3 linked regions of the Tamandua tetradactyla genome follow. The protein of the gene in region 3 purifies or fractionates together with the protein of the main gene of each other region. This does not show direct contact. Links are inferred from orthologs where the notes say so. Each region holds a gene or a part of one and is shown on either strand. Other genes may lie near its edges. The genes, in order: AMPD2, PDPK1 and SDC2.

What was found.
Region 1: the proteins of SDC2 (region 3) and AMPD2 purify together in Homo sapiens (co-immunoprecipitation; 3 studies listed by BioGRID and IntAct, counting the BioPlex papers as one, with this or other methods). This does not show direct contact. The link is inferred for Tamandua tetradactyla from reciprocal best matches to the Homo sapiens genes SDC2 and AMPD2.
Region 2: the proteins of SDC2 (region 3) and PDPK1 purify together in Homo sapiens (affinity purification with mass spectrometry; 4 studies listed by BioGRID and IntAct, counting the BioPlex papers as one, with this or other methods). This does not show direct contact. The link is inferred for Tamandua tetradactyla from reciprocal best matches to the Homo sapiens genes SDC2 and PDPK1.

Annotation. Positions count from the first base shown.
Region 1 is NC_135337.1:13,230,144-13,240,823, forward strand, and holds the start of AMPD2 (AMP deaminase 2), read right to left. Parts: upstream 4,473-10,680; 5' UTR 3,500-4,472; coding exon 3,104-3,499; intron 2,883-3,103; coding exon 2,752-2,882; intron 2,393-2,751; coding exon 2,324-2,392; intron 2,235-2,323; coding exon 2,123-2,234; intron 1,889-2,122; coding exon 1,702-1,888; intron 1,467-1,701; coding exon 1,325-1,466; intron 1,212-1,324; coding exon 1,122-1,211; intron 936-1,121; coding exon 806-935; intron 629-805; coding exon 434-628; intron 352-433; coding exon 220-351; intron 1-219. UniProt on the Homo sapiens protein: AMP deaminase plays a critical role in energy metabolism. Catalyzes the deamination of AMP to IMP and plays an important role in the purine nucleotide cycle.
Region 2 is NC_135349.1:54,877,753-54,888,169, forward strand, and holds the start of PDPK1 (3-phosphoinositide-dependent protein kinase 1), read right to left. Parts: upstream 3,931-10,417; 5' UTR 3,825-3,930; coding exon 3,801-3,824; intron 3,480-3,800; exon of another isoform or gene 3,271-3,479; intron 1-3,270. UniProt on the Homo sapiens protein: Serine/threonine kinase which acts as a master kinase, phosphorylating and activating a subgroup of the AGC family of protein kinases.
Region 3 is NC_135332.1:140,322,908-140,332,702, forward strand, and holds the start of SDC2 (syndecan-2), read left to right. Parts: upstream 1-5,407; 5' UTR 5,408-5,895; coding exon 5,896-5,955; intron 5,956-9,795. UniProt on the Homo sapiens protein: Cell surface proteoglycan which regulates dendritic arbor morphogenesis.

The sequences.
Region 1 (10,680 bases), on a different chromosome or scaffold from region 3:
CTGTCACATCCGTGACCTCACACTCACAGCAACTGTCACACCCAAGCTTCTGCCCCAGCCCTGCCCCACCTACCTGTCTCTGCACCTACCACATGTGTCCAGCCTGACCTCATCACACCTCTTACCATCCTCCTCCCCCTCTGCGAACTCGCTCACTCTGGGGCGGGCTACCCACAGGCCCCTCCTGTGCACCGGGCCCTGGTGGCCACGCCTCCTCACCTTGATGATGTGAGCAAAGTACTTCCCGGAGACCCTGTTGTCGGTCTTGATGAAGATCTCTCGGAGGACAGACTCCCCAATGGGGTTGTACTTCGCATTGAACTTGTCGAAGCGATGGAAGGTGTTTCTGTCCTGGGGGAGAAGGGCAGACCCGGTGTCATTGCCTGGCCCCTGCCCTGACGCGGCCACCCTGCCCCAGGCTGCCAGGACAGACCGCGTGCACGTCGAGAGTGTCCACGCTCAGGTCGTAGGCGGTGAGATTCATGCTCTCGAAGACCTCCCGCAGCGTCTGCTCACGGCCCTGCTCCACGTGCACGATCTCCTCCAGATGCCGCTTCATCGCCCGCTTGATGAAGCGCAGCAGGTGCTTCTGGTTCATGCAGGACGAGGCGTGGATGTGTGTGTCCACCTACAGGGGAGACGGGAGGCGGCTGGGTCCACCAGAGGCCCGGCCAGGAAGGTCAGGGCAGCACGATGGAAGAGGCCTCACAAACTGGATCTGGGGGTGGCAAGGGGTGGGGAGGGGACGCCAGCCCTTGAGGTGGAAGCTGGGCGAGGGCCTATGTCGAGGGCAGTGAGGGCCCACCTTGCGGATGTTGTAGAAATCTCGGTGTGGCACCTTCTTCTGGGCGGCCAGCTCCTTCATCTCGTTGAGCAGCACGTGCATCTGGAACTTGGAGCTCAGGTACTGCAGCCGGCGGTAGCAGAACGACTTTCTGGGCAGGGGGTTGGGGAGACAACAAGGTAAGGGACTCAGGATGCAAAGGAGGCGCCATGGGTGGGGAGGCCTGGGTAGCAGACGGAGGGAGGGGACAATAGGGTCAGGCTGAGGGACAGATGAGTACGGGGGAACTGCCTAGGTGTGGGGTCTGAGGCAGGACACCCAAGGGGGCGGGGCTCACATGGGGCCGTTGATAATCAGGGCCATCAGCACATTGACATCAGCCACAAATTCCTGCAGGTCGGGGTACGGCAGCTCCAGCTCTGAGCAACTGGCATGTGGGGGAAACTGGGCTGAGGAGAGCAAGCCGGGCCCTCCAGCCCCTCCCCGGGGCCAAAGCAACCTCCCAAGCACCTTCCCCCAACCCAGGCCAGCCCCTCTTACTGCTCATCGAGCTCCCTGCGCGTGTAGACGTGTACCACGCCACGCACCATGCGCAGGCCAAAGCCCAGGTCCCCGGGCATGGTGCTGGGCTCGCAGTGCTCGTAGGGGTGCTGCTCCAGCGCAGGGGGGTGCACCGGGGCGTCTGCGGGGTGTGAAGGTGGAGTCAGGGCCAGGCCCCGTGGGAGGTGAGACACCAAAGGACCCCGAAGGGCTGCTCCCACCCCAACCTCTAACCCCTGCCCTCCCAGCGCCCCACCAAGAAGCCAGGGTGAGCCCAGATGGGTGGAGAAGCAGACAGAGCAGAGGCTCCTGGGTCCTGAGCTCAGGGAGCCCGGGAGATGCAGGCACTTGGATGGGGCAGGGATGCGGGGCCCTACCAGCAGACACGGGCGTCTCAGGGCCCTGCTCATAGGTCCGCGTCTCCAGAGGCTTCTCAGCCAGCTGCTGCAGATAGCGGCGGGTGGTGGGGCAGCAGCTCTGCAGCGCCAGCGCCATGTACTTCTCCCTGATGAACAGGGCCCGCACCACACTTTTGGCTGCGTCCAGCAGGTCTGTGAATGGCACCTGGAGGCAGGGACGTGTGATCACCCGCCTGGACCTCTGACCCCAGGCCCCTTCTCCCCATCTGCACAGGCCCTAATCCCAGAAACATTCAGACCACGCGGTCCTGGTGCGTTCACACCACCCCGGCTTTGAAAAGGAGAACCAGGGCCACCAGCCTCCACCCCCAACTCCCTGGGCTGGACGGGCTCCTGGGGACACCTAGGGGTGGAGACCCAAGCCCCGCCCCACACTCACGCCACACTTCTCCTCCCCGGAGATGGTGACCCGTTGGAACTCCCTTTCCAGCAGCCCGTCACGCTCCCGCAGGCCCCGGTCACCCTGGCCCTCGCCCTGCTCCTTGTACAGCCTGCACGGGGACGTGGATGGGGATGGGTGGGGGCCAGCAGCAGCCCAGGTCCCACCTCAGCATCCCCCTCGCCCCTCTGCCCTGCTCACTGTAAGTCTGAGTCACTATCAGTCTTCAGGAAGTCTTGCTTGGCCCGAAGCAAAATGTCCGGCTCCAGCCTGGAGGTGAAAGGGGTGAGAGGTCGGGCAGATGCATTCCCCTCCCCCAGCCCCCAGCACCAGGCCTGGAAGCACACAGGTGCCTGTCACCATGACCTCCACGGAGGGAGAACCCCCTGCCACGGGCACTGGTCCTACCCCACTTTAGAGCCGAGACAACAGACCCACAAGTTAAGCAACATGTTCCAGGGCACAGTGGTGGGCAGAACACGGAACGAAAGCTCCAGCAGCCTGGCTCCACAGCTCATGCTCTAGGCTGCCTCCCAGGGGGCCCCCAAGGGAGAGGGGAAGGGAAGGGGACCAAGGAGGGGCTCAGCAGGCTAGGCTGTGGCCAGGCCCTGGAGGCCGGGGGAGCGCACTTGACGTCCTGGCTGATCTGCCGCTCCAGGCGCTGCCGCCGCTCCTCCAGCTGCTCGATGGGGCTCTCCTCGGGGAACTCGTAGGGGGCGCTCCGGAGCTCGCTCTCGGCCAGCGAGCGGCTGAACAGCTCCTGGTGGGAGGAAGGCAGGCGCAGCCAGGAGAGGGTCAGAGCCCGGCCTTGGCCCCTGGGGTCCTCCCCGGCAGGGCCTCAGACAGGCTGAGAGCAACAGGAGGTGGGGACCCGGGACCCCAAAGGATGGGGAGGGGCAGCTGGGGTAGGGGCTGAAGGGGGCAGAGGCAGGGCGTGGGGACCCCCGCGGTGAGGGGACATGGGGCGGGGCCAGGCGATACCTCGGCGATCTCCTTGCATTTGCCATCCATGGAAGTGCGCAGGTCGAGGGGGAAGTGCTTGAGGCAGGGGGCGGGCCCCGGCACGGAGCGGGCGGACTGCAGCGGAGGGGCTCCCAGCCCACTCCGGGCCTCTGTGGAGACAGTGGTTGGGTCAGTGGACTGGGGGCGGGAGTGGACAGAGCCTGGGTGTCCGTAGAAGCCCTGTGTCCCTGCCCGTCCCAGGCCAACCCTGAAGAAAGGCCAAAATGGGCCCAGAAAGCGGGTCCCTGGGGCTGAGGAGTGAGCCTGCATGTGGGTTTCACAAGCTTTACCCTCACAGTGCAACCAGGGGGCCCCTCGCCCACTCCAGGCTGGGGTTGGGGGTCGTGAGTCTGGCCATGGAACAAGTGGATTCATTCACTGCGAGAATAAGAACCTGAACCCTGAACCGAGAACTAGGGCCCACACCCCCTGCTGTGAGAACCTCCCGTTAAGCACCTCCCCCAGGTGAGTGCCTGACATGCGTGCACGTGTGCAAAGGCGCACACACAGCAGACACTCACCAAGGACCGGGTGGCCCCACAGGGATGCCCAGCCCACAGCTCCCGGGGCAGGCAGTCCAGGACAAGACCTGCCTCTTACTAGATCTCCACCCAGAGAAGCAGGGCCCCCACCTGGTAGCACAGTCCTGTAAACCACAGGGGAAGCCACTAGCTCTGACCTAGGGACCAGCCCTCAAGGGAGGAAGAGAGGAAATGGAGGACCTGGTTGGCAGCAGGAACCCTGCCTCCTCCCTGGAGGCCTGCCCTCTCCCCCAGGACCCCAGGGCTGCCAAGATGTGGCCTGGCCCCAGCCTGGCCCTCCCACTGCTGGCTGCCCCTCCAAAGGGAGCTGCCACAAACAGCCTGCGCCACTGGGAGGCCCCAGGATCTGGGCCGGAGGCCCCACGGAGGGCCTGGGAAGGGGAGTATCAGAAGCCAGGGGTCTCTCTCCATTGAGGGGCAGAACTCTCCAGTTGCACCATCAGTAGGCTGGCACCATAAGCCTTGAAGCTGCTGGCCTGTTGGGGCTGCCTGAGCTCCCAGCCCACCCTGAGGGGCCTCCCTCAAGCTCTCCAGCCTCAACCTCACGGGTGGGAAACTCCTCCACACTCAACCTGGCTCTCCCAGCCAGCTCTGGGGGTGCTCCCCTCCAGACCCCTCCCTTCCCCTTTCTGCCCTGGCTTCAGGAAGGACTGAGGGATCTGCCTAGGTAGCATGCCTTAAAGTCTCTGTGCCCACTTCCCGGTACTCCAGAGTCTGGTCCCCAGGCCAGATAAAAGGAAGAGAGAGATGAAGTGCCACCCCAGATCCAGGACCCAGACGTCCACTCACACGCGCCCCTGCCCCAGCCCTACCTGCCGAGTTCAGGCAGCTCCAGCCAGCAGCCCTACGCCCCTTGCCCGCCGGCTTGCTGAGTGAAGCTGCAGCCTGTCCCCCAGGACAGCTCAGGGGCCGGCACGGGCTGTACCAAGTGCAGCTGCAAGGAGGGGAGACCCTGGGATGGCGGCAAGCAGAGGCTGGAGTTCAGGGGAGCCCAAGAATTAGGGAAGGGGCCTCAAAGTTGGGAGTTAAGAGGAACCCCTAAACTGACAGTGCCTTAACCTGTGCAGTGCCAGAGCCCAGTCAAATGTGAGGGCCCCCAAGGAGGAAGAACAGGGTTTTCTGATATGGGTGGGACAGACTGGCAGGGAGGGGCCAAGCCTTCTTAAAATCCACTGCCCTAGACAACTGAGAGTGGGCAGGGCCTGGCTGGCCAAAGGGTAGGGGGAAGGAAAAGGAAGGCAGGACAGCTCTCCTCAGCTCACACTCATCGGCCCAGGCCCTGTTGCCCACCATAGACTGTCCTCTGGGCCCCGCCTGGGAGGTCCCTCCAGGGAGTCAGGGGAGCTGGGGAGAGGAGCTGGCTGGTAGCCAGGGCAACGGCCTAGCCCTGTTTGGAGTCAGTTACTGGGAAGTCAGGGCTTCCCACTGCCCACCTTCTCAGGGGTAGCCATGAGATCTCCAACCCTTGCCCCAGACTTAAGTTGGGGACAGGACAAATGGTCGAGAAGGAGAGTTTTGAGAGAAGAACGTCTAGAATTTGGAGGACTTAGTTTGACTCTGTAGTCTACTTCTGGAGTCTTCAAGTCCTTATATAAGTGGGTTGATAAGCGGTTCCTGCCCTGCTCTGCCAGAGCTGCCAAGAAAGGCTCCCGGAGATAAAGACTCCCAGAGATAAATGGCTCAGCCAGGGTTCTGCACTGTGCCAAGAAGGATGTGCAATTATGAACTCCTGGGACCCTCAAAACACTTTCCACACGTAGTCCCACCCACTGGAGCCAGGGCAACTGGCAAAGGGCAGAGAAGAGGACAGAATTTGGCAGGGAAGTTGTGACAGGGAGTGATGCTGTCTCTTACTTGGTGGAGGGCAGAGCAGGAAGGGAAAGGAAGATGGGTACCTGCTCCACCCCCAGGGTGGAAGGCAGAGTCTAAGGTTCTTGCTTGTCCAAGTACCTGATGCTACATATGTCCTCCCCACACTTGTAAGCCCTCACGGGGAAGCAGAGCACAGACTTCCATGGCTGATCTGTGCTGGGTCCTCAAGATCTGAGCCAAAAGCCCTAATTTTGATCCTTTCTCCCAGAGAGGTGGCCTGGAGCCTCCAAGGCTATGTGGAGGGTGACAAGTTCCAGCAGCCAGAGCCATCCCCCCAGACCTGCCACAACACTGCACAGGGCTGCCAGGGATGCAGCGCCTCCAGTGGAAGTAACATGAAGGAGCAAACTTCAGGCTCTAGGAGGTCAGGGCCTAGAAGGCTCAGCTAGCTGCCTGTGGTCCCTTGTCCCATGTCCAGTGCTACTAGGATCCTGCCTATAGTATCCCCACACCCATCCACACAGGGGAGAATCAACCAAAAGCCCACCAGTCCATACACACAGCCACTCCACAGGCATTCCAGCAACTCCAGAATTCTGGGTACCCCATCTTCCTCTCGTCCAGTAGTCTCTCACTCCCTGCCAAGGAGGCCTCAGTAGGCACGGAGGTACCCCAGGCTGGTACTCACGAGTCTCAGATGCTCTGACCCTTTTACCACCCAAAGTTCTCTGGTTCAGCAATAGGGCAACTAGTACAGCCCCAGCCCCAGGGAACATACCTTCTGGATGGCACAGACCTGGCCTCGGGACAGTACAGGTCTTGGGCCAGGCATCTTCAATGGCATAAACAACAAAGGAGGGAGATGCTCAGGCTATAGGGACAGACAGTTGCTAGGAGACGTAGGGGGTGTACGCTTGACCTGGTCCTCAGCCACCGGGCCTGGGGGCACTGGGTGGCAGGCAGACCTGTATCAAGCACAGACTCTGGGAGCCAAGCCCTCACCAACACAGGGACTGCTGCACCACACCACCTGCTCCAAAGTGCTTGCTCCAAATGGTGCAGAGATTCCTACCAGAGGGGGAGCCGAATCAAAGGGTACAGAGATACCCGCAGCACAGCCTGAACACCCGAGACAGGCCTGACCGAAGGACACCCCATACTCGAGAAGGCTCCCACGCACAGACCAGGAATGAGCAAACATACAGCTGAGTCTCCCAGCTCTCGGTTGCCAGCCAGCAATAGGTGCACCCTGATGTCAAGACTCCGCTATCGAGGTCGGGGGTCCTGGAAAGAGGAGCCAGTCACAGAAGGACAGCCTGAGCCTGCCTGGTGATGCACAGCCACCAATCGGTGTGGCTGGTCCAAAAACCAGACAGCCAGCCCTACACACACCTCCTACTCCCACTCCATTCACACACACTCCACATGCAAACATTTGTCGAAGCACATCCACACGCTGACATGTGTGCAAACACACCTCTTGCTGAATCCACTCCTTGTTACAGAGGACAATGTCCGGGACACCTAAACCTCAGTCACCCCCACCCGACCTTCCTCCCCATGCCACCTCTCAAGTCAGCTCTCCCTGGTACTGAGGCCGAGGGGCACAACCATAGAGGGTACCAGAGAAGGCCCCCACCCCACCCCCACCCCCATCTCTGAGGGGCCATTGGTCTGAATGAGAAGAGGTGAGACAGAGCGTGTGTCCAAGGCCGGGAAGCACAGACTCACCCTGTACTGCAGCGGAGGCCTGCAGGCTGGCCCGCTTCTTAAAGGGATATTTGGCTTTGGACTTGCTGGGGGCAGATGCATAGGATGCCATGGCTGGGGCTGCACGATGGCGGGCGGGGGGCGTCTGAGCAGCACCGGCAAGAGCCTCACTCTGCCACATCCAACCTCTTCCTCCGCCCCGCCCCCAGCGGGAGTGACTGATGCAGGAAGCAGAGGCCCCGCAGGCGGAAGAGGCCCTGGCCACGATTTCTGATGTTGTCTAGGCAACCTGGCACAGAGGTTGCCTCCTTCCCCACCCCTCACCCCTCCCCTCCCTTCCTCAGCCCCTGGAGTGCCAGGACTGATGGTGGATGGCCCTGGGGGGGGAGGGGGGTGGAGAAAGAGAAAATCGGATGGAGAAAGGCCAGCACCCAGCTCTCCACAAACCCCGCCAGGAAGCCTCCTCACCCTTTGCCAGGGCTTCAGGGCAAAGTCCAGGTGAGCTGGTCCAGCCAGCCCGAGAGAAAGCATAATGAACAGGAACCCAGCCCCTGCCTTCACGCTCAGCACACATTCCTCTCAGGGCAGGCAGAGTGGCTCACTCTTCCCTGAAAACCCTGCCCGTCTCTGCGGCAGAGCCTCGGGTTTTGCTTCTCCGGGGAGGATGGGGTAGAACTGAGAGAGGAGCGAGGCGCCGGGAGCCGCTGTCCGGCAGACGGGACCCGCCAGGACGGCAGGGCGGCCAGGAGGAGCTCGTCTGGAGGTCTGTGAAAGACACCCCCGTCTCTTCTGACTCCCCTCTGTCTTTCCACACACAGGCGCTCCTTCCCAGAACGAGCCGGCCGCCTTCCCTCGGTCCTCCTGTCATCCTGCCTCCCGCACTGCCCTAGCCCGGAGGCCCTCCCCGCAACCCACGCGCACTCACCTGAGGCCATGCTGCCAGAGTCCCGAGGGGCCCCGGGAAGGCTGCCCGCAAAGGGACAAGCTGGGACTCGAGGGGAGGTCGGGGCGCTGGGTCCCAGACCCCGGCCGAGTCGCTGCGGCGGGCCCTGCCCTGGCACCGCGGTGGGGGAAATAAGGCAGGTCTTCCAGAGCGGGGGCGCGGACGCCCACCGGCCGCGGCGGCGCCGCTGCTCCGGCTAGCCGGGACCCCAAGGCCGGCGCGCGAGAGGCGGGCACACCACGTGCTCCCCAGAGAGCGGCACCCGGAACTCGGCCCGGCTTCTCCCCAACCCGCCCCGGGTACTTGGACTGGGACGTCGGTAGCTGGACCGTGGGGGAGTCACGCAACAGGTGCGACCCCACTAGAAGCTCGCCCGCGCCGCGCCGGTATCTGTGGCCCCGCCCTGGCCAGGCCCCGCCCCCGCCACTTTTCCGCTTCCCGGGCGCCACGTGGGCTGCTTCCACCCCGCAGCCCGCCTGGCGGGGCCTCCCGGTATTGGGCAAGTTCATAACCCTTCTGTGCGTCAGCTTCCTCGTTAGTAGATGGAATGCGGGAATGACAGTACCTCACTCAAAGGGGTTATTGTGAGGATTAAATGTAAAACCCCCTTGCACAGTGCCTGGCACATGGTCAGCGCCCAATAAAAAGTAGCTATTATTAGTGTCCCAGGATTCACTTTGAGCCGTAGAAGCCCAGCATTCCCACTCTAGGTCCTCTGTTCTCTTCTGGCAGGCCTAGGTAGGCACGGTGTGCCCTGCTATTCTGGCTCCCCTTTCCTCATTTATTTCTATATTTGGTGGCAAAGGGATTAGCATCTGTAACCAGATTGCTGGGTTCAAATCCAGGCCCCTCCACCCCCTGACTGAAGTTGGGCAAGTTCCTCAACTTTTCTGTGCTTCCATTTCATCTGTGAGTGTAAGAGTACCTGCTTTATGGTGGTGGTTAGGCTAAAGAGCTAGTACGTGTAAAGTGCTCATACTTGTGCCTGGCCTTTAGTCACAACTCAGTGTTTACATCTCGATCACGGCTATGTCCTAGGCTTTGATTTCTTACGGACAGGTTGATTCAACCTCCAGCCTATAAAGAAGTGGACGTTTGGGGGATGCTGCAGATACTCCAATCAGCTAGTACCCGCACCCCCAAGTGGCAGAAAAACTTACCTAAAGGGAACTTGTGGAGGGAAAGGTTAAATCCATAAGATTTCCCTACATAAAACTAAGTGCCCAATAATAACAATTAGAACAATCTCTTCCCTATTTCTCACCCTTATGGAAGGGCCCTTTGACACCCCCACCCCCCCCAACACACATCCAGTTGAACTGTTTACCCCCTCCCAGTTCTCACCACCCCCACAGCCAAGCTTCTTCTTCCAAATCTTGCCTCCCCCAACTCTCCCCAGGCTGGATTCTGGACATTGAACCTTATTCTCTACCTACATCCAGTGTTACCTCTTTTGATCCTCTGTCCACTTGCTCTTTGCCCTGGACAAACTACAAAAACAATAGCCTCCATAGACATACACACAGGAAGTCCACCTCAGATAGACATACACACAGGAAGTCCACCTCAGAATCAACACAACTAATAAGAAAACAAGGAGATTCCATGTTTTAACTATCAAATTAGCAAGATAGGTAAAAAAAAAAAAAAAAGATCATCCTAATGCAGTTAGTGAGATGGGACACACACACACACACACACACACACACACACACACACGGTTGTGGATATAAACACTGAACAAACCTTTCTGAAAGCCATTTGGCAATATATACCCAAGAGTTTAAAAGTTCATTACTATTAGACCCAGTACTTCCACATCAAGGAATTACTCTTGAAGTGTAAAGAGTAATTCTTTTTTAAAGCTGCCAGAAAAAAAAATTTTTTTTTAATAGAACAGATTTCAGAGTTTGGTAGGGGTCACAGTTCCAAATTTTGGGTTTTTACTTCTAGCTACCCAAAGACACTGGAGACTAAATGAAATACCGATCTAGTGATTCAGCAATCATACTCATTTGTTAAATCCTATCTTCTCTGTTACAACTCCACCTTCTCCTTTGATCTTTCTCCAGTCTGTAGGGGTTATTTGGGCTATGCCCATTCTGACTTTCTCATGTTGGAAAGGGCTGTTGATAATATGGGATAGAGGGATGGAACTAGTTGATGTTCTGGAGAGTTTGGCCCCTCTAGGTTTCAGGACTTATCTGGCCTAGAAGCCCCAACTGGAGGTTGTAGGTTTCTGGAAAGTAATCACAGTGCATGAAACTTTGGAGAATCTCAGATAGTGCCCTACATGTTCTTTAGGATTGGCAGGAAATTTTGGTTCAGGTTTGGCAAACCAGTAAATAGCAGTATCTAGCTGAAGCTTAGGTAAGACTCCCCTCCAGAGTGGCCTCTCGACTCTATTTGAACTCTCTCAGCCACTGATACCTTATTTGTTACAATTCTATTCCCCCTTTTGGTCAGGAAGGCATTGTCAATTCCACAGTGCCAGGGCCAGTCTCAACCCTGGGAGTTATCTCCCACACTGTCAGGGAGCCTTTCTCCCC
Region 2 (10,417 bases), on a different chromosome or scaffold from region 3:
GGTCTGTAGATAATCTATTTACATATACATCTGACTGAGTTTCTCTAAGGGGTTTGAAGTTCATAAATGTAAATCAGAGAGAATGCAATATCTCTCTGAAACAAGATTCAATGGTAGCTTAAAACTACCTGGAATTTCTTGGAGTAAAAATTTCAATTAAAATATTAGGAAAGCTTTCTAAGACTAAGAGTGGAAACAGACTTTGCTCAACTAAATAAATGCAACAGTGTCAAACACAGAAAAATAGACCTGGAGAACCATCATGAACCCAAACAAGTTTCTCTTCTTTAAGATACTATCATCAAAACAGAGTCCCCCATTGATGGAACCAATTCTTCAAACTGTTACTCTGAGAAAGTGTACTCTGCCTGTTTATCTAACAGCTAGAGACCTAATACACAACCATTCCTCAGTAGTCAAATAATTTAAAGAAAAGGGCCTGGTATCACACTGAAAAAGAATGTTATCCAGTTTCAAAAAAATACACTACTGAAAAGACCTGAATAATAAATGTTCGAAAATTAGTTTCCACACTAGCTACTTCCTCCCCTGTGAACTGCCCTTTGAACCTGCCTGGCTTCAAAACAACTGCGCCCATGCGCCCCGCTGACGCCTGGTATCAAGAGGGCAGGTGCACGGTATGCGGTACACGCGGGCCTCAACCCCTCGCACCTGCAGAGGGAGTCACTTCAGCACTGAGGGTCTCTCAACAGCAAGTACTTGGTCTAGAGGCAGAACTGAAAGAGTACGTGGAATTCTGTCAAAGCACATTTGCTCTAAAGATACCCTTCAGAAATGGGGAAAGTGTCATGCTAGCAAACAATCCTAACCATAGAATCGCCCAATCAATCATACACTTGCCAAATTCTGTCTCACACTGGGGTCAGTCTGCTGGCCTACGTGCACCCAACCCCGATCAGTTTGCTGACGGAGCTGGTTGAGGGGCACAGACTGAAAAAGGGTTCACACCCAGGAACCTCTTTTTCCTCTTCCCCAAACTGAAGGCAGCCTAGAGGCCAAAGGCATGACTTATATAGCTGTAGACCGCTTTCCAGAGGTTTTTCTGGGATTCTTCTCGTAAACCCATGTGAGAAAGCAAAACAGACCTCCCCCTTCACCCCTTATTGGTACTGGGATCTCACCTGCCAGCTCTGAACTCAGCTCCATAACTGCTGCAAGAGCTTCCTGGGGACAGAAATCAACATGCTGCAGTCACACAAAAAGCCACCCAAAAGGGAATCAGAAACCACTTCGTTCCATGCCCTGCTTTTCCCACTGCCTTTCCCATGAATGCAGCAATACTTCTGAAAGTTAGCACCACCCAAGTGTGGGAGGGAACGACCCTGGCCCCCGAATTCTACCTTTCACAGAATCATTGCACACTGCAGTTCTGCTAAGGGAGGATTCCAAGCCTCACCCATTCAGAATACCAGCTCTCAAATAAGGATAAACCAGAGCCTCTTCCCAAACAGTTGCTTTCCCACAGCATGGGGCTAAGGCGACTCTGAGGGTCACGGAGTTCAGCCATCTGCCTAAGGAAATAAATAAGTGTAATGTCCTTCCATGTGAAGATATCCCTCCTGCCTCCAGCATGACACAGTCAGGACATTCAGGCGCGATCCTCTGGAAGACATCCCGGGCAGAGGCACCAAGGGCTTCTTTAAGCTGAGCGCTGAACTGTACTCCCGGGAGACGCTCCCTCTGGGAGTCCCTCACCCAAGGGGCAGTGTGACACCGGGATTCTCCCGTCTCTCAGACTCGAGCGCAAACTGCACTGCGTTATTTACAAGGCAGATACTTAACCTCTCTGCATGTCAGCTAACCCCCCTGTAAAGTGGAAATGACACCTTCCTCCAAGACTGTTGATACCACAGGACAACTCAGTGTGCAGCACTAGCAAGGCGCCTGCCTTCACCTGAGTGCTTTAACAAATGGAACAGACAGCTTTCAGTGCATCTTAGTACCAACCTGGGCTACACCATTTTCTAACTGCACAACTTACACTGCTCCCTCTCTTGGCAGTACACTTAGAAAGGCCTGGGAAAAATAACCGTTGAGATAGGGGTCTTCATCTACGTCCCTAGAGAGGATGTGAACCCACTCAAACTATGGAAAAGCCAGTATCAGGCCCACCTCTGAAGGGGAACATGGTACATTCTCACTTACGTATGTTTGGAATCGATTTGACAAAGTCGCAAAAGCCTGGTTTCTCTCACTTCCTGATGTGAAGGACTATTTTTTTCTCACTGGTTTTCAGCGTTTTTTGCACTAAACAGCTGCCATATGCAGAGAAAAGTGCCAACGTTAGGCATCAATACATCACATAGAACTTCCAAGGCCTGGAGAAAATGTGCTCTTTCCCCTCCCATGGATGCCATCAAAGCATGCACCTTGCATTGCAACAGCATTCCTGTGTGAAAGTTCATTTTACAAACTTCCACAACCACCGTCCTCCCTAGCCACCAGTCCGATGAGCCAAACAGCCTGATTCAGAGTTTTGCGTCAGCCCAGGCCCCCCGGGGCATAGCCACCCATGTCGCAACCATCAATGACATCCCTGTCACCCTTCACCATTTTCCTCAACTAAATGGGTCCTCCTTTCAGATTTTGGATCAATGCAGTTTAGCCCATCTGTACAGACCAGAGTTCTTAACCACCAAGAAGCTGCAGGACAGGACGTTCAGGAACCTTCCCAAGTAGTAACTGAATTTGGTGCAGCTGTGTACTTTCCTCAGCGCACTTTCCCATACCTTTCATCAATGTCTCAAAGGGGTCCAGGAGCCCTACCACTGACCCCCCCAAAAGTTAAGAATCCCTACAGTAAAGAGGTGTCCTGGAAGATAAGAGAACAAGTTAACTTAATGGGTGTTCCTTCAATTAAGGAATTTATTTGCTTTTTAAAGCAAATTTTGCAGGATGTCTAAACTTCTTCCACCACTCACTTCACATTCACACGTAAGATATAAAATTCTTCAACCATCTTCCCCAAACTCCAGAATTTAACAGAGTGAAGATATAAACACGCTAGAGATACTTTTAGCAACAGGGAGAAAACACAGAAACACTCGTGATACTTTCAGGAAAACACTTAACCCAACAAGTGTTACTGGTTTGCTTTTATCCCTAAAATCCCCTCCTACCTGTCAAGCTCCTTTTCCCTTCGGTGCTAGGTCCAAGCTCGGCTCCCAAGGGCTTCCCATAACACTGAAGCCTGAGGCCGGGAGCAGAGCCACAAGGTAGGAAAAGTAAAAGCACCCAAAAGTCCCTCACCTGGCCGTGAAGGGCGAGTTTATCGGGCTCTATCCGAACTCAAAATCTGGTAACGAGATCCCGGGAGCAGCCGGTGCTCGGGACAAGCGCTCGCATCTCCTGCATCTGCTGCTCGGCCCGGGAGCCGGGACGTAGTTCCAGGTGAAGGCCCGGGGCGGCTCCTCGCGGGCAGAACCGAAAGGGCATCCCGGAGGCCCGGCTCCAGGCCGCGTCGCGCCGAAAACAAACTTTCCAGGCACTTCCACCCGCCGGGCCGGGTGACACCTCCCCGGCCTCGCCCGCCCTCCGCGCGTCTGTCAGCGTCCCCCGCCAGGGCCGGCGCCCGCCGCAGCCAGCCCGGCTCCCCGCAGCCGCCGAGTGGCGCCCCGGCCGGCGCCCGCTCCCCCGGCCCGGCTCGCCCGGCCTGGCCCCAGGTGAGGCGCCGCCCGGCCCGCGGGACCCCGGGCCGCCCCGCCTCGCCGGGCCCGGGCGGCCGCCGGGCCCGACGAGGCCCAGAGGCCGGCGCGCCCGCCCCGCCGCCGCACACTCACCAGCTGGCTGGTGGTCCTGGCCATGGGCCCCGCGTCGGCGCGGGCCCTCCCCCGCAGCGCTGCGCGGCTCGGCGCCTCCTCAGCGTCCTCCTCCCCGCCGCGGAGCCCCAGCAATGGCCGCCCTCATCCTGCGCCCGCCCCGCCGCCCCCCGCCCTCGGCGCAGCCCCGCCCCCGCGCGACGCTGGCCGGGACTTCCGCTGCGCGGCCGCCGTCGCCCTCTCCCATTGGCCGCACAGGCCGTCACTCCACCGCGGCCCCGGCCGACCCCGCCCCCGCCCAGGGAGCCGCACTTCCGGGTTGGGGCCCGCCGGGTGGGAAGGGCTGGTCCCCGCCGAGGGGAGGACCTGCGTGGGCCAATCCCGGGGTCTGCGAGTCGGGGCGGGGACAGGGCGAGCTGTCATCCCGGGCTCGCAGTTGGGGAAGCCGAGGCTCGGAGGGGCCTGGACTTGGGCCAAGGTCACGCCGGAGGCACCGAAGGAGCATGGTTCTCACCCCTGCACCGTCTCTAGGGCGGGTCCTTGAGGAACTTTTCTAGTTAAAAACGAATGCGTTATTAAACTTTCCCACCTGGGAAACCCCTAATACACTCAAACATTAGGGACTCCCAAGTTAATAGGCCAGGCCCCTGATCTTGAGGCTAGCTCTTGTGAAGCTTATTTATGTAAGAGAAACTAAGGCTACCTATGGTTATGCCTAAGAGTTAACCTCCAGAAAATCTCTTTGGTTGCTCAGATGTGGCCTCTTTCTAAGCCCAACTCTGCAAAGAAAATACCTTACATGGAATATGACGTCCAAGGGTGAAAGTCTCCCTGGGACGGCCAAACATGACTTCCAGGGTGAATCTGGCCCTGGCACTGTGGGATCAATAATGCCATCCTGACCAAAAGGGGGAAAAGACATGTAACAAAATAAGCCATCAGTTGCTATGAAAGTTCAAATAGAGTCTAGAGGCTATTCTGGAGACTACTCTTAAGCTAACTTCAGCTAAATATTGCTGAATTGCAATGGTTTGCCAACCCCCAACCAACACCATTCCTGTTAACCCTAAAGAACATTCAGGGCTGTTATTTGAGATCCTACAGAAGTTTCTTGCACTAAGTTTACTTTCCAGGTGGTCCCTAGACCAGATAAGTCCTGAAACCCAGAGGGCCCAGCCTCTCCAGAACATCAACTAGTTCCATCCCCCTATGTTGACATCCTTTTCCAGCATAAAAAAGTTGGAATGGCCAGAGCCCAAATAGCCCTGAAGAGTGGGAGAAAGATCAAAGGAGGAGGAGGAGTATAACAGAGAAGACAGGATTTAACAAATGAGTATGACTGCTGAATCATTATGTTGCTATTTCTTTTAGTCTCCAGTGTCTTGGAGGAACTAGAAGGAAAAACCTGAAATTGTGGATCTGTAACCCATACCAAACTTTGAAATCTATTCTATAAATATTTGTAGAATCTACTTTGAAATGTATTGCTTCTTTGTATATGTTATATTTCACAATAAAAATGTTTTTAAAAAATGAACGCATTGAAGGACATTTTGGTCATAAAGACGCATTTATAAGGCAGAAAACAAAGCCATCTCATCATTGCAAATAGTCCAGGAACATCCTCAGAACTTTTTTCTTTGCCTAGGCATGTATTTCTTATTTTTGTGGTTGTTATTGTTGTTGATGATGATGCTGTCTTCAAATTAGGATCATCCTTGTAACCTAAGGCTTTCATAGTGCTAAATAACCTGTTTTTTGTGTGTATCTGTTCTAGTTTGCTAGCTGCCAGAACGCAAAATACCAGAAACAGAATGATTTTTAAAAAGGGGAATTTAACAAGTTGCTAGTTAACAGTTCTAAAGCCGAGAAAATGTCCCAATTAAAACAAGTCTTTAGAAATGTCCAATCTAAGGCATCCAGGGAAAGATACCTTGGTTTAAGAAGGCCAATGACGTTCAGGGTCTATCTCTCTAGTGAGAAGGTACATGGCAAACACGGTCAGGGCTTGTCTCTCAGCTGGAAGGGCATATGGCGAACACAGCGTCATCTGCTAGCTTTCTCTCCTGGCTTCCTATTTCATGAAGCTCCCCGGGAGGCATTTTCCTTCTTCATTTCCAAAGGTTGCTGGCTAGTGGATTCTCTGCCTCATGGTGCTGCAGCATTCTCTGCTCTCTCCTTCATTCCCCAAAATGTTTCCTCTTTTATAGGACTGCAGAAACTAATCAAGACCCACCCAAATGGGTGGAGACATGTCGTCACCTAATCCAGTTTAACAACCACTCTTGATGAAATCCCACCTCCAGGGGGATGCTCTAATTACAGATTCAAACATACAATACTGAATAGGGATTAGAAGAAACGGCTGCCTTTACAAAATGAGATTAGGTTTAAAATGTGGCTTTTCTAGGGTACATCCATCATTTCAAACCAGCACGATATCCAAAGCAATATATCTGAATTTTTTTAATGATCCTTTAGATAACACAGAGTAATAACAATGAAATAAACTCACCCATTATCCCACGTGGCTAGACTGAATTGTTCAAGAGGAGTAGTAGCTGCTAACATTTATTCAGCGCTTACTCTAAGTAAGGATGTTCAGGCCTAAACCCATTTACCCTCACAAACACCCCCACCACTGTCACCCCACTTTTCAGACGAAGAAGCAGAGGTCACAAAGTGTCAGGACAAGAATCTAGACACATAGGATACCTTAAGAAACAATAACAGATTCCGCGGGTCAAGATGGCGGCTTAACAACGTGCGCATTTTAGTTCATCCTCCAGAACAACTGCTAAATAACCAGAAACAGTACAGAACAGCTCCTGGGGCCATGTCGGTGGCCGGACACACAGTGTACCCCAGTCTGGACCGGCTGGACCGGCTACGAGCACCCCCCAAAACCATGAGTTCCCAAAGCTGCGGCGGCCAGCGCCCCTCCCCGACAGGCCGCTTCCCAGAGGGGAAAGGAAAGGACTTTACCAGCAGCAGGGACTGGGCACAATCAAACGCCAATTGTGGAACTAATTAACAAATTCTGACTACTAAAAATAGGCCCCCAGCTTAGGTGAACCCAATCAAAGCGGAGGTTGCTCATTTTTGCCCCGGCACCAAGGGGGCAGGCCTGACAGAAAAAGGGGGGAAGAAAGAAGGAAACAGGTTTTTGTGGCTATATATCTACAAAGGCTTGACTGCCTCTGCATACAGCCGCAGGACTTTTCAGGCTGCAACTGCCCCAGGCATAGGCAGAAGTGAGCTCTTCTGGGGGCTTATCTGGAGCCTGTGCCTTCCCCAGGGGAGGGGTGAAGCCCCACCCAGGTGGAATCCCTCCATCAAGGAATTCAGACACCAGTGCTTGGTAATTTGAAGCCATTAAAACCAGCCTACAACCTCTCCTCTGTCTCCAACAAACCCCCAGCCAAAGTTAAAGGTACCGCATCATCTTATGCTGGTGGGACCTGCAGTCAGACAAGCGCCACATACTGGGCAGGATAAGAAAAACAGAGTCCAGAGACTTCACAGGAAAGTCTTTCAACCTGCTGGGTCTCATGCTCAGGGAAAACCAATGCAGGTGACTCTTTCCTCCTGATAGGAAGCCAGTTTGGTCTGGGAAAATCTGGCTGGGATCTATAATATCTAAGCAGACCCTCCTAAGTGTGTGAAGGGGAAAGCAGCACAAGAAACAAGAAAACAAGAACAGAAAAATTCTCCTCTGTTAAACAAAACTTAAGCTAAAGGTCCAGATAAAGCTGAACAGAATGTCAAAGAACAGATAGACAACAAATTCATCCAGCAAGAAAACCCTAGATAAAAGAAGTGAAAGCAATCTCCAGAATAAACTAATTAAGGTAATTAAATGCCTAGACGCCAGCAAAAAATAACAAATCACACTAAGGAAATTGACCCAGTCAAAGGAACAAACCAACAATTCAAATGACATACAGGAGCTGAAACAACTAATTCAGAATATACGAACAGACATGGAAAACCTCATCAAAAACCAAATCAATGAATTGAGGAAGGATATAAAGAAGGCAAGGAAGGAACAAAAAGAAGAAACTGAAAGCCTAAAAAAACAAATCACAGAACTTATGGGAATGAAAGACACAGTAGAAGAGATGAAAAAAACAATGGAAATCTACAATGGTAGATTTCGAGAGGCAGAACATAGGATTAATGAACCGGAGGACAGAACATCTGAAATCCAACAAGAAACAGAAACTATAGGGAAAAAAAAGGAAAAATATGAGCAGGGACTCAGGGAATTGAAAGACAATATGAAGCGCATGAATATACGTGTTGTGGGTGTCCCAGAAGGAGAAGAGAAGGGAAAAGGAGGAGAAAAACTAATGGAGGAAATTATCACTGAAAATTTCCCAACTCTTATGAAAGACTTAAAATTACAGATCCAAGAAGTGCAGCGCACCCCAAAGAGAATAGATCCAAATAGACGTACTCCAAGACATTTAATAATCAGAATGTCAGAGGTCACAGAGAAAGACAGGATCTTGAAAGCAGCAAGAGAAAAGCAATCCATCACATACAAGGGAAGCCCAATAAGACTATGCGCAGATCTCTCAGCAGAAACCGTGGAGGCGAGAAGACAGTGGGATAATATAATTAAATTATTAAAAGAGAAAAACTGCCAACCAAGAATTCTATATCCAGCAAAATTGTCCTTCAAAAATGAGGGAGAAATGAAAATATTTTCAGACAAAAAATCACTGAGAGAATTTGTGACCAAGAGACCAGCTCTGCAAGAAATACTAAAGGGAGCACTAGAGACAGATACAAAGACAGAAGAGAGAAGTGTGGAGAAGAGTGTAGAAAGGAAGACCATGAGTAAAGGTAAAAGGAAGGAAAATTAGATATGACATATAAAATCCAGAAGGCAAAATAGTAGAAGAAAGTACTACCCATGCAGTAATAACACTGAATGTTAATGGATTAAACTCTCTAATCAAAAGACATAGTCTGGGGCGGGCCGCGGTGGCTCAGCGGGCAAAGTGCTTGCCTGCTATGCCGGAGGACCTCAGTTCGATTCCCGGCCCCAGCCCATGTAACGAAAACGGAGAAACAGAATACAATAAAACAAGAAAATGTTTAAAGATGTTTCCCTTTCTTCCTTCCTTCCTTCCTTCTCTCTGTCTTTCCTTTAAAAAAAAAAAAAAAAAAAAAAAAAAGACATAGTCTGGCAGAATGGTTTAAAAAACAGGACCCATCTATATGCTGTCTCTACTCAAAGGTCACGAGGCCAAGGACACAAATGGACATTTACATGTTTATAGCAGCATTATTAACAATTACCAAGTGATGGAAACAGCCAAAATGTCCATCAACAGACACTTGACTAAACAAACTGTGACATTTACATAAGATGGAATATTATGCAGCTGTAAGACAGAATAAAGTTATGAAGTATGTAACAACATGAATGGACCTTAAGCACATTATGCTGAGTGTGATTAGCCAGAAACAAAAGGACAAATACTGTATGGTCTCACTGACATGAACTGACGTTAGTGAATAAACTTAGAATATTTCCTTGGTAACAGAGACCATCAGGAGATAGAAATAGGGTGAGATATTGGGTGATTGGAGCTGAAGGGATACAGATTGTGCAACAGGACTGAATATAAAATCTCAGATATGGACAGCACAATACTACCTAACAGTAATGTAATTATGTTAAAACACTGAATGAACCTGCATGTGAGAATGATAGAGGGAGGAGGACTGGGGACATAAATGAAATCAGAAAGAAAGATAGATGGTAAAGATCGAGATGGTATAATCTAGGAATGCCTAGAGTGTATAATAATAGTGAAATGTACAATGTACAAATTTAAGAAATGTTTTTGCCTGAGGAAGAACAAAGGAATTTCATTATTGCAGGGTGTTGAAAATAGATAATTAATACTTTAAAATGTCACCTTATGTGTGAGACTAAAGCAAAAAATGTTTATTTGTTACAAAATTTATATTTTGACTAGAGCATTTCCTAATATAACTCATGTAGATAGTTTGAGTGAATGTCATAAGTACTTGGAATCTCAGGTAGCATATGAGATTTTGTTGGTTTGTCCAGAGTGATGCCCTGATGAATCCCAGAGTGATTTGATCAGTGACTGGAAAAGTATTTGCAAGCCCCCTTCGGGGAATGGTGAGAGTGGGGAGAAATTCAACTTCCCCAAGTTGAATTCTTGATATTCTCACAAGCAGTGTGGACAACCAAAGCTATAGGCTGAGCCCCCAGGCTTGGGATTTGTTCACATGAAACTTAACCTCACAAAGGATAGGTCAAGTCTACTTAAAATTTAGGCCTAAGAGTCACCCCCAAGAGAGCCTCTTTTGTTGCTCAGATGTGGCCTCTCTCTCCAGCCAAAACAACGAGCAGTCTCACCACCCTTTCCCTCTCTGTGTGGGACATGACTCCCAGGGGTGTGGACCTTCCTGGCAATGTGGGACAGACATCCTGGAATGAGCTGAGACTCAGCATCAAGGGACTGAGAAAAACCCTAGAATGAGCTGAGAATTAACATCAAGGGATTGAGAGAACCTTCTCGACCAAAGGGGGAAGAGTGAAATGAGACTAAGTGTCAATGGCTGAGAGATTCCAAACAGAGTTGAGAGGT
Region 3 (9,795 bases):
AAAAATGAATAGAAGTTCTGCCAGGTAACTTGGAGGGCATTCTATAAGACGAAGAAAGTGTGTTTAATGTGACAGAACTTTTGTAAAACTAGCAAGAACACAACAAAAAACTTGCCTGTACAAGGACATGTGTGCGTATCCATATAGGGTTATATGAGGAGGGAGGTAATAAGGGGCCAGAGGTCATCTCAGGGTGTTGCGGTGTTGGGCTGTGTGTGTGGTGAGTTGAGGGGAAAAGGGAGAGGGTGAAAGAGCCACTTTTATAATGCAACTTGCTGGAATGAAATCTGCAGAAAACATCCCTTCCTTTGTCATTTGTATTACTAATCACAACAAGAAAAGGAAGAGCAAACAGTAGACATTATAAATTCAGACTGTGAGAGATTGTGTTTTTCCTTCGCAGAAACAACACTTTCCCTATTTCTATCAGAATTCACAGGATTTAATTCTTTTTCACAACTTAATTATATTTCAGTCTATTTCAAAACTTGCAATTTTGGAATTTTATACTCTTTCCTTGGGTTTAACATTTTCATGGTGCATAATTTTTAAAAAGATAGGATGATATGTACTCTGGTTTCCTATGCCATTCTTAATTATATTTAGCTTTTTGCTTGTTCTTTTCGATATAACAGAACATACTTCTAAGAGCAATGTTTCTATCCTAGTTTGTAAATAATAGGTGAGAATTAATTATCTTAATGGTCTGTTGTTTAGGAAGAACAGAGGAGACTCCCTACCAATAATTGTCTCCCCCACATCAATTGTCCAGCTGTGGTCTACACAATTAGGAACAACGACCATTTAGTGTATAGGGCTCCCCTCCAAGGCTTTGGGAGAAGATGATTCTCTAAGAACAAGGAATGGGGCTGATGCTAGCTGCCACAAGAGGACTGATCTATAGACAGTAGTAATAGAGTAGTTCCATTTTACATGGAGTCAGTCAACAGGAGATTTTCCTGTCCAACTGGATATATAAACACAATGCAAATGACTTGGAGCTATCTCTCTGTTAAAGGTCTTAAATCCATATATCCAAGTAGGGCTCTGAGAAAAATAGTGTGTGAGGACCAATATTCTAGTTTGCTAGCTGCCAGAATGTGATATACCAGAAAAGAATGGCCTTTAAAAAAGGAGGAATTTATTAAGTTGCAAGTGCACAGTTCTAAGATTGTGAAAATGTCCTAACTAAAGCAAGGCTATAGAAATGTCCAATTTAAGGCATCCAGGGAAAGATACCTTGGTTCAAGAAGACCGATGGCATTCAGAGTTTCTCTCTCAACTCGAAGGGGACATGGCAAACATGGCGATCTCTGCTAGCTTTCTCTCCAGGCTTCTTGTTTCATGAAGCTCTCCTAGGGGTGTTTTCCTACTTCGTCTCCAAAGGTCTCTGGCTGTATGGGCCCTAAAGCTTTTTCCAAAATGGTTCCCTCTTACAGGGCTCAAGTGAGCAACCCCACCTTGAATGGGTAGAGACACACCTCCATGGACATCATCTAATCAAAAGTACTACCCACAACTGGGTAGGTCACAGCTCCATGAGAACAATCAAAAGCTCCCAGTTAGCAATATTGAATGAGAATTAAAGGACATAGCTTTTCTGGGGTCCACCACAGATTCAAACTGACACAACCAGAAATGATGCATTCGATAAAATATGTGCTTCTTTAAAATTTCATAACTAATTTGAGGATGAAATTAATCATATATCTCAGGCACAGACTTGTGATTTGGGGAAACTCTTAGGTTTAATATGTAATTAACTCCAAATATGTTTCAAGAAAATTTATGTGCCTACCCTTCGTGTAGGCACTGTGGCAGGTCATCCAAATGTTTGTTGAATGAACGAATGATTGTCAAGGTTTTCCAGACTTTAAGAAACCTATGTAGGTGTTTTGCCTCTTGGTTTATTCAGCGGGTAACTGTATATTATATAGTTCCTTGAGGTTCTTCCCTGTTGCCTGCTGTCGAAAATGTGGCAGTTTTGTTCAACATTAGCACCATGTCAAGTTGTGAAAGGGAGGGGAGCTGAAACTCAAATCAGTCAACGTCCCTGGCAAAGGATTGGTGGAGGTGAATGAAGAGAACAATGGGAAAAAATGAGGCTAAATAAAGATTTTTTTGCATCACCTGTAGATTTTTGTCATGGTGTCAGCTCACTTGCCATTAATAGCATAACTAATTCATATTTGGTTGGCTGGATTTTCTCTTATACTCCAGGTCCATCATCTTTCAAGTGAATTTAGTCAGGCTTAATGCTCCAAGTGGATTTCTAGCCAACATCCCTGATAACATTCCAGGGAGTGGCGAGTGACAGAACAACCGAGAACAACAAAGTGGCATCTTTCTACCTTTGCAGTTTCCCCAACTTGTACAGCTCACGTGGGATGAAGCACCTGCTTGTCCAAGGTCATAGAGTAATATTACTAGATACCATTATAGAAGAGGCTAGGTCATCAATTTTAGGTAAACAACAAAAAACTAAAAGTATGTCTTGGGTATCTTTCATTTCTATTATTTCATTTTACTTGGTCCTCTTTAACTCCTGCTTTCTACATATCAGCATCTTAATCTATATTTATTTTAACTTTTAAATATTTTCCTCTGAGATTCTTAAGGTAAGTTGCTTGTTCTTTTAGCAACCAGTGAAGCTATTTGGTTGGTTAAACTACTTTATTTGCTGTGTCCCTCAAAGTATAGCTTCAAACTGGTGAATTGGAAAACATACAGTAGCCAGGTACCTTTAGGCTCTAGTCATGAGCTGAACTAGTGTATTAGGTATATTTCACAAAATTCTACAGAATTTGATTTGCATCAGTTAAAAAGAAAAAAAGCCCAATAACAAAACACATAAGGGTCTTTGTCATCTCCAAATTTAGACTTGCTTCTGACTAACACTAGTAGACATCATCTACCTTCTACACCGTCTCCCCAAACCCCCATATCCCTCTCCCAATGTGCTCCTCACTTAATGTAGGCAAGGCATTTGCAACCAGTTTTCGTGCAAGTGCTTTTATGATTAGTGCTTTTTATACCGTTAGATTATCCCCTGAGCCACATCTGTTAATGCATTTGAACATAAGAGCTTGACTAGCTATCATATCAAAACTTGAGATTGTGTGACTCCTAAAAAGGTACCAAATTGGGTGGTGTGATGGTGGCTCAGTGGCAGAATTCTCTCCTGCCATGCTGGAGACCCGGGTTCAATTCCTGGTGCCTGCCCATGCAAAAACAAAAAAAGGGTACCAAATTCATTTGGTGTATATGTTCTCAAAGTCACATTATCATTTGAAGACAAACCCAACAAAAAGGCATTGAGAGTCTCATAGACATCAAGGACCTTGGTGTGTGTCTTTGGTAAAGAGACAGATACACCCCTTCAACACATGTATCTGCTTTACTCATTTTTATTCATTTAGTTCAAGCTGAATCAGAGAGCAGTCACCTTGCTTCAAGCTAGGAGGATGCCCCAAACCACAGCACTAGTCATCAGAGCCAGCAAATGTGTACTTTCCCATCTGATTAGAATTCTAATTAATTTGATGGGTTCTTAGCTGTTGGAAATGAAAGGGGTATGGCCTTGCCTGATGGCTGGAGAGCAGATTAGGTCCCTATGGGGGTAGAGCTCACATTTTATGGTTCTTTGTATTTTCCCACACATTTTCCCTTGGACTCTCCTTTGAGAAGTCTCCCCATGTTATGAAATTCTTCAACCCACAATATTTCACCTTAAAATATGGCTATAGTACAATCTTTCAAAGAGCACGCTGGCCTCACAAAGGGTGCAAGTGCAGGATCATCTTCTGAGGAATCAGAAGCATCTGATGTTATAACTTTCAGTCTCCTTCTCTTTCTCTGTTTTTTTTTTTGTTTGTTTGTTTGCCTGTTGCAATACATATCTTTTTGTCTGCCTATGCCTTAGATTTGCCCCTGGGCACTTGGAGCTTGGTAGTTGGCCATAAAAACCAAACAACTAGATGTTTCCAATTTGAGATGTTAATTCTCCAGTTCTACAAATTTCTTTCTCTCGAATTTATTAAAGTGATAGATTGCTCAGACTTTGCAATTCTCATTTAGGATATGACTGTATCTAACTCTAAGACTAAGTTCAAAAATTACCATGGCCCAGTATCTATGGATCCCTATATATGTATTTTAAAGTCTTACTACTCTTATTCAGTATAGACTGAGCTTTACAACAAAATTTACTCAAGAGACATGTATTGCGTGCCCTTTATGTGTCAACAAGAGGAATAAAGTGGTGAACAAGACAGAAAGGTACCTGGGTCTGTTGGAGTGGGCATTCTAGGAGCAGAATGGCTTCATAATTCATTCCCTCCATAAGTCACAGAGCAAGATGGTGGTAGAAACTGGAAGGGACTATTCATTAGCCAAGTTCTATAGTACACCATAGACATTGACTTGAAAGAAATACAGTAACTTTATAACAAAATATTTCGTATCAGTTATTTACATTCAGGAAATACATGCGCCTTATTTTCTTTAAACTAGAAAATATTTTAGCTCTCTTTCCTTTGAAGGTCTTAAATCTGGGTGGCTATCCAGTTTCTCATCAAATTGCCCTGTTTTAGCTTTCAAACGTTGACACTTCTATGCTGAAATGGAGCCTGCAAAATGCCTTAGAGGCTGAAGCTGTGTGTGAGGCAGAAATGGTATTTAAGCCCTTAATGAAATTATTACCTTTGAAACTTGCATTTAGGGTTTATAGGAGCCTTCCTCCACTTATTATTATTATTATTTTTGAAGGGGGAGGAAAAAGAATTACTGTCGGTGTGGGAAATACTCTTAATACATACATTTATTAAGTGTCCTCTGCTTAAAAATACAATTTTCATGAATTGGCGATTTAGATATACTTCTCATTGCCTGGAAACATCTGTGAACTTTTATCTGTAAAAAAAGAGTTTAATTATTTTTTTGAACTCTCAAAACGGTTTTCTTTCCACTGTTCTAATTCTTGTTGGCAGAAAGCTAAATATCTCTCATTTCTTCACTATCTTTCTAGAGAGAGAAATATGAAAGTGAAGGAAAGGAGAAAGAAAAGAAAACAGAACAGCTGGATGAAGAGAAAGGAAAAGTGGGGGGCTGGGGGTGGGGAGAGACGAGGAAGAGGGGGTGAGAAATGAAGGAGCACAGGTTTGTGAACTAGCAGCCACCGAACAGCCACAGCGCCGAGCCGCAAACGCCCACTGGCCCTAGGAGCTGCCAATCGGGGCGTAATCCTGTAGGAATTTCTCCCGGGTTTAACTGGGAGTCACACTGCCGCCTCCTCTCACCCAGACGCCCGGAGGAGCCGGGAGAAGCAAGCTCTGGAGGGAGGGAGGGAGGGGGAGGAAAAGAGGAGGAGGAGGACTCGGGAGGGAGGCGGCGGTGGGGGGGAGGAGGGGCGCAGCCGCGGAGCCACTAGCCCAGCGCGGACTAGCTTCTCTCCAGATACTCCCGGAGCTCCAGCGCGGCGGACCGCGCGCCCCAACCGCACTGCCACTAAACTCCAGCTCCCTCCTTATTGCAAGCCTTCTAATTTATTCCTTAAAATCAGAAACTAAGCCGCGATACGGGGAACGAGGCCGCGGAGGAATAAAACAGCAGCCGAGAAACAGCTCCAGATAGCCTCCCCAGAGCAACAACTCGGCATCGGGAGTCCAGAAACCAACAAGTGAGAAGGCACCGCGTTCCTGGGGCGCAGCCGCCGGCAGCAGGAGCAGGCGCAGGAGAAGGCAGCGAGCGCCCCTGAGCCCCGAGCTTTTGCTGCTGTCGCTGCTGCTGCTCCTCCACTCCGGATCCCTCTGCGCGGGCCGCGCGGGGCGCTAGGCAGGAGGCTTCATTTCACCCTCGTTGCAAGCGGAGGCTAGGAGCAACCGGTCACCAAGGAATATGCGGCGCGCGTGGATCCTGCTCACCTTGGGCTTGGTGGCGTGCGTGTCGGCGGAGTCGGTGAGTGGGCCAGCGGGGGTCGCATGCACGGTTCAGGGTGTTTGGGGCCGCGAGAGGAGTCCGCGGTGTCCCGGGGGAATCGGGGAGCGTCACCTGAGGGATCCCATTCCTAGATGCCGCGCTCGGTCCCCGGGGATCTGCTGGGAGAAATGCGCTCGCTTCTCCACCCCTTTTCCCTCTTCCTACCCTGCCCGCAGAAAGGCGCCCTTCGCTTGGGTTGCCGCGAGGTCCCTCGGGATGGGAGCGCGAGAGTGGCAGTTTTGTCCAACTGCAGAGGTTACTGAAGTCACTCCCAACTTCGCTCTCAGGGTGTTTTGCTGCGTGGCCCGGGAAGGATCGGGGTGGGGATTGAGGGGTGGCCGGAGACTGGAGCAGGAGCAGAACTCCCGAAGGAATAGGACGTCTCTGTGCGCTCCGTGCGACTCAGGGATGAGCTGGAAACTTTGGGGCTCCGTCCTCCACACACCATTACCCCAGGCTATCCTTCCGGCTGTACAGAATGTAGGATCTGGGGAGATGGGCCCCAGATTTGAGAAACCTGCAATTGCCCGAGAGGAAAGTTTCCAAAAGTTCTTTTGTTTAATTTTCCCTCTGGCTGGGGCGAGGTAGCCGTCGCGACTTGGAAACGCTGCCGGCCCGTAGGAGAACGCGAGGAGTGCGCGGAACGCGCGGCTAAGTGGCGGGGGCGTGGGCCTTTGGAGTCCTTTGGCGACCTCCCTCTCCATTTGCGGGGCGGAGGGCTGCCCGCGGGGCCTTCGGGGCTGGAAGACATTTTAATTCCAAGTGCACTGGAGTGCAGAAAGCAGGGCGAGGCGGGGTGTGTGTGAAACTGCGCTCGGCCTTCAGGTCGTCCTGCCGGCTACCGGAGGGAAACTTCTAGCCGACCACGCTCGCCCTCTCGGGCCTTGGCCGCGGCGCGTCCCGGGCACGGAGCCTCCTGTCCCGCTCCCGCAATGGAAACTTGATTAAAAAAAATTTTTTTTTCTCGGTTTGGTCGAGAAAAAAACCCTACGTAGGGTTTCTGCGGCCCTACGTAGTCCGGTGAGCGCCCTCTAAAGGGGACTGTTTCCCGGGCTTCCTTTGCTCAACGGCCCTACCTAGGCGCCCGGAGCTAGGTCCAGGCAAGTGGAAGCCCAAGCGTCGGGATTCCGTCTGCGGCCTCAGTGCGGTGTGGAGGCTAGGCTAGAGAATGCGTTCTTTCTGCCCCTCCTAGTCTTCAGTGTTCCTTCTCTAATTAACTCAACTGTCTCTTCCCAAGAAAAATTATATCGCCTTTAGGTTGTTTTGTGATTCCCCCCCACCCTCGCTTTTGGGGTGTTACTTTTCCTTCTTCCTTCTTTTTGAGGTGAACCAGTTTAGGATTGGGAAACCCTCTGGCAATGGGCACTGGCTGGGCAATTTTAATGTGTGTGAGCCTCTGCGTACTTACTAGCAGATCCCCAAACGTTATCTCGGTTTGGAGAGCATCTAGAATTGTCAGTGATAAAGAATAGATGAGTTATTTGGGCGTTTAGGCTGTAAAACTGAGCTCCGACCCTTAGGGGTATTTCTCTTTAGCAAATGATGTTTTAATCGGTTGAAATTAGTAATCTCCGAACCAGTTATGAACTTTGGCTCATTGTGTACACAAAAAGGAACAGATTCTCTGTTTATTTCAGATAAACATTATTGCTCATCTTGTTGCAAAACAGGGCAAAAGGGAGAACTTTATCTCAGGGTTTTCAAAGGCAGCCTGCCTAAAAAGCTGTACAGGGTTAGTAGAGCCTTTTTCTTTTTTTTCCTCCCTCTCAGTCCTGTTCAGTGGGTTTCAGTGATTTGTTTAGGAAATGTTACTGTTTTGGGATTCTAGAGAAAGAATGTCTCTTATCGTCTGCCTGTCTGGGTTTTTGCATAAATCTGACAGTGCTTCTTTAAGGAAGCTTTTTGGCTGAACTGTATCTGGCACCTTCTGGGTGACACCCTTCCCCTGAAATCTGTATATTTGGGGTTCTAATATTTATCAATGTGGTCTGTTTGTTCTGATCAGAATTGTATGCATTTGGTGTAAGCTGCCTCATTGTGGAAGATTACATTTTCAGTAATTGGAATATCATCTCAAAGAGTGATTAGAGGTTTTTAAAATGTCAATTCACAGACTATAGCCGAGAGTCTTTGCTGGGCAGTGAGTCAGTCTTTTCTTCCAGAAGCTGCTTCAAAGCTCAGAATGACAACTCGTCAATTTAAATTATTATTCAGTACCTTTTTGTTTCATGTATAGCAACAGAAATAAGCATGGAGTTAAAAGAGTTCATTTTAGAAAGTTTAGTCACTGTAGTGCATTATTTCCAGTACTTCTCATTTCAACTTGAGAGCTATGTCCTGGGACTTGGAACGAGTGGTAGTCAGTGCTTAAGTGGTAGTCTCTCTTTACAAGGGAGAAAGGGAAAAAGTCTGCCATTAATGAAATCTTGAGTTTTATACTTAGCTTTGGGTGGGGTGGGGGTGGGGGGCAATGGTAGTTCTCAGGAACTAAGTCTCAAGGCTGTCTGTGAGAAGGAGCAAGCGGCTCTTCCTTTGTGGATGTGAGAACACAGCAGCCAGTGCTTAGCCAGGGAAAGCCTGTTCGTGGTGATGCATTCATACTTTCCACCGGCAGGTTAGGGCTTTCACTGTTGGAACACTATGCAAGGAGAAAGACTGACTGAGTGTGGCGGTAGTGATATGCTGCTGTTTTTCTATCCAGTTTTTTTTTTTATGACTGTTTATCTTTAGAAATAATATATTGCAGACTACCATAAACACATAACTTGAACTGGAAATATTTTTAAGAAAAGGGAAGTGTTTTGGACTAGTGGAATTTTATACATATGTTTAAATGTTTCTCAATTAAAAGAAACCGTCAAGCAGTTTAGACCCAGTGTGTTATGAAAGGCTGGCTTTGGAAAGTTTGCATCAGAAAGGAAAATAAAAATTGAAATCATACTGCCTTTTGCTATTCTTTAAAAAATATATTTTGGCCATTCTAGGAATGAAACCAATTCATTTTGCTGGGGAGTTTAATAGAAACAAGGACTCTTTCTCTGCTGGTTGGCTATTAGAAGTAGAGAGACGTCATTTAAGAAGGAAAGATCTTAAAAGATCAGGCTCGCAGGAGGTGGATATTCCAAGTAGGAAATTGAGCATGTCCCCCATCTCCCACTTCTGGGACCTGGTAGGTCAAGTTTTGATGTCGCTCACCATTTGAATGGCAGCCTGTTGGGGACTCGTAATGTGATCACTCACATGACACCTTGGATAATCATTAGTTTGGCAAAGATATCAAAAGATGTTTTTTTTTCCTGGGCAGGATTTCTTTTAACATTGCCAGAAAACCATCAGACTGTGCGTGTATGCATGTGCATGCATGTGCGTGCATGTGTGTGTGTGTGTTTGTGTGTGTGAGAGAGAGAGAGAGAAGAAGAAGAAGAGACTTACAAATTAACAAGTCTCCAAAAGCTTCCAGAGACCTGAATGGCCAGCCGGAGGTGGCCTGAAATCTCTTCAGTTTGGCAAGGCTGTGAGGCTGAGCCAGCTGTACAGAGCCCAGCCCACTCTGTTGTTACTTTTATAGGGAGTGGGGTCAGGCCACGGGGGCTTGTGCCTGTTTGCTGGCAGTGGTCCAAGAGGGCCCATGAGGCGTGCCTCTGAGTTTAGATTCTCACTAGAATTGTTTCTCCTCTGTTGCCAAAAGATCAAACTAAAAGATCTTGCCCCTCTTCTTCCCAAGAAAGAAGACCTGCCATTCACACCACTGTCAATAGTATATTCCAGTGTTTCAAAATCACATAATTCTTTCATGGACAAGAAGCCAAAATAAAATTT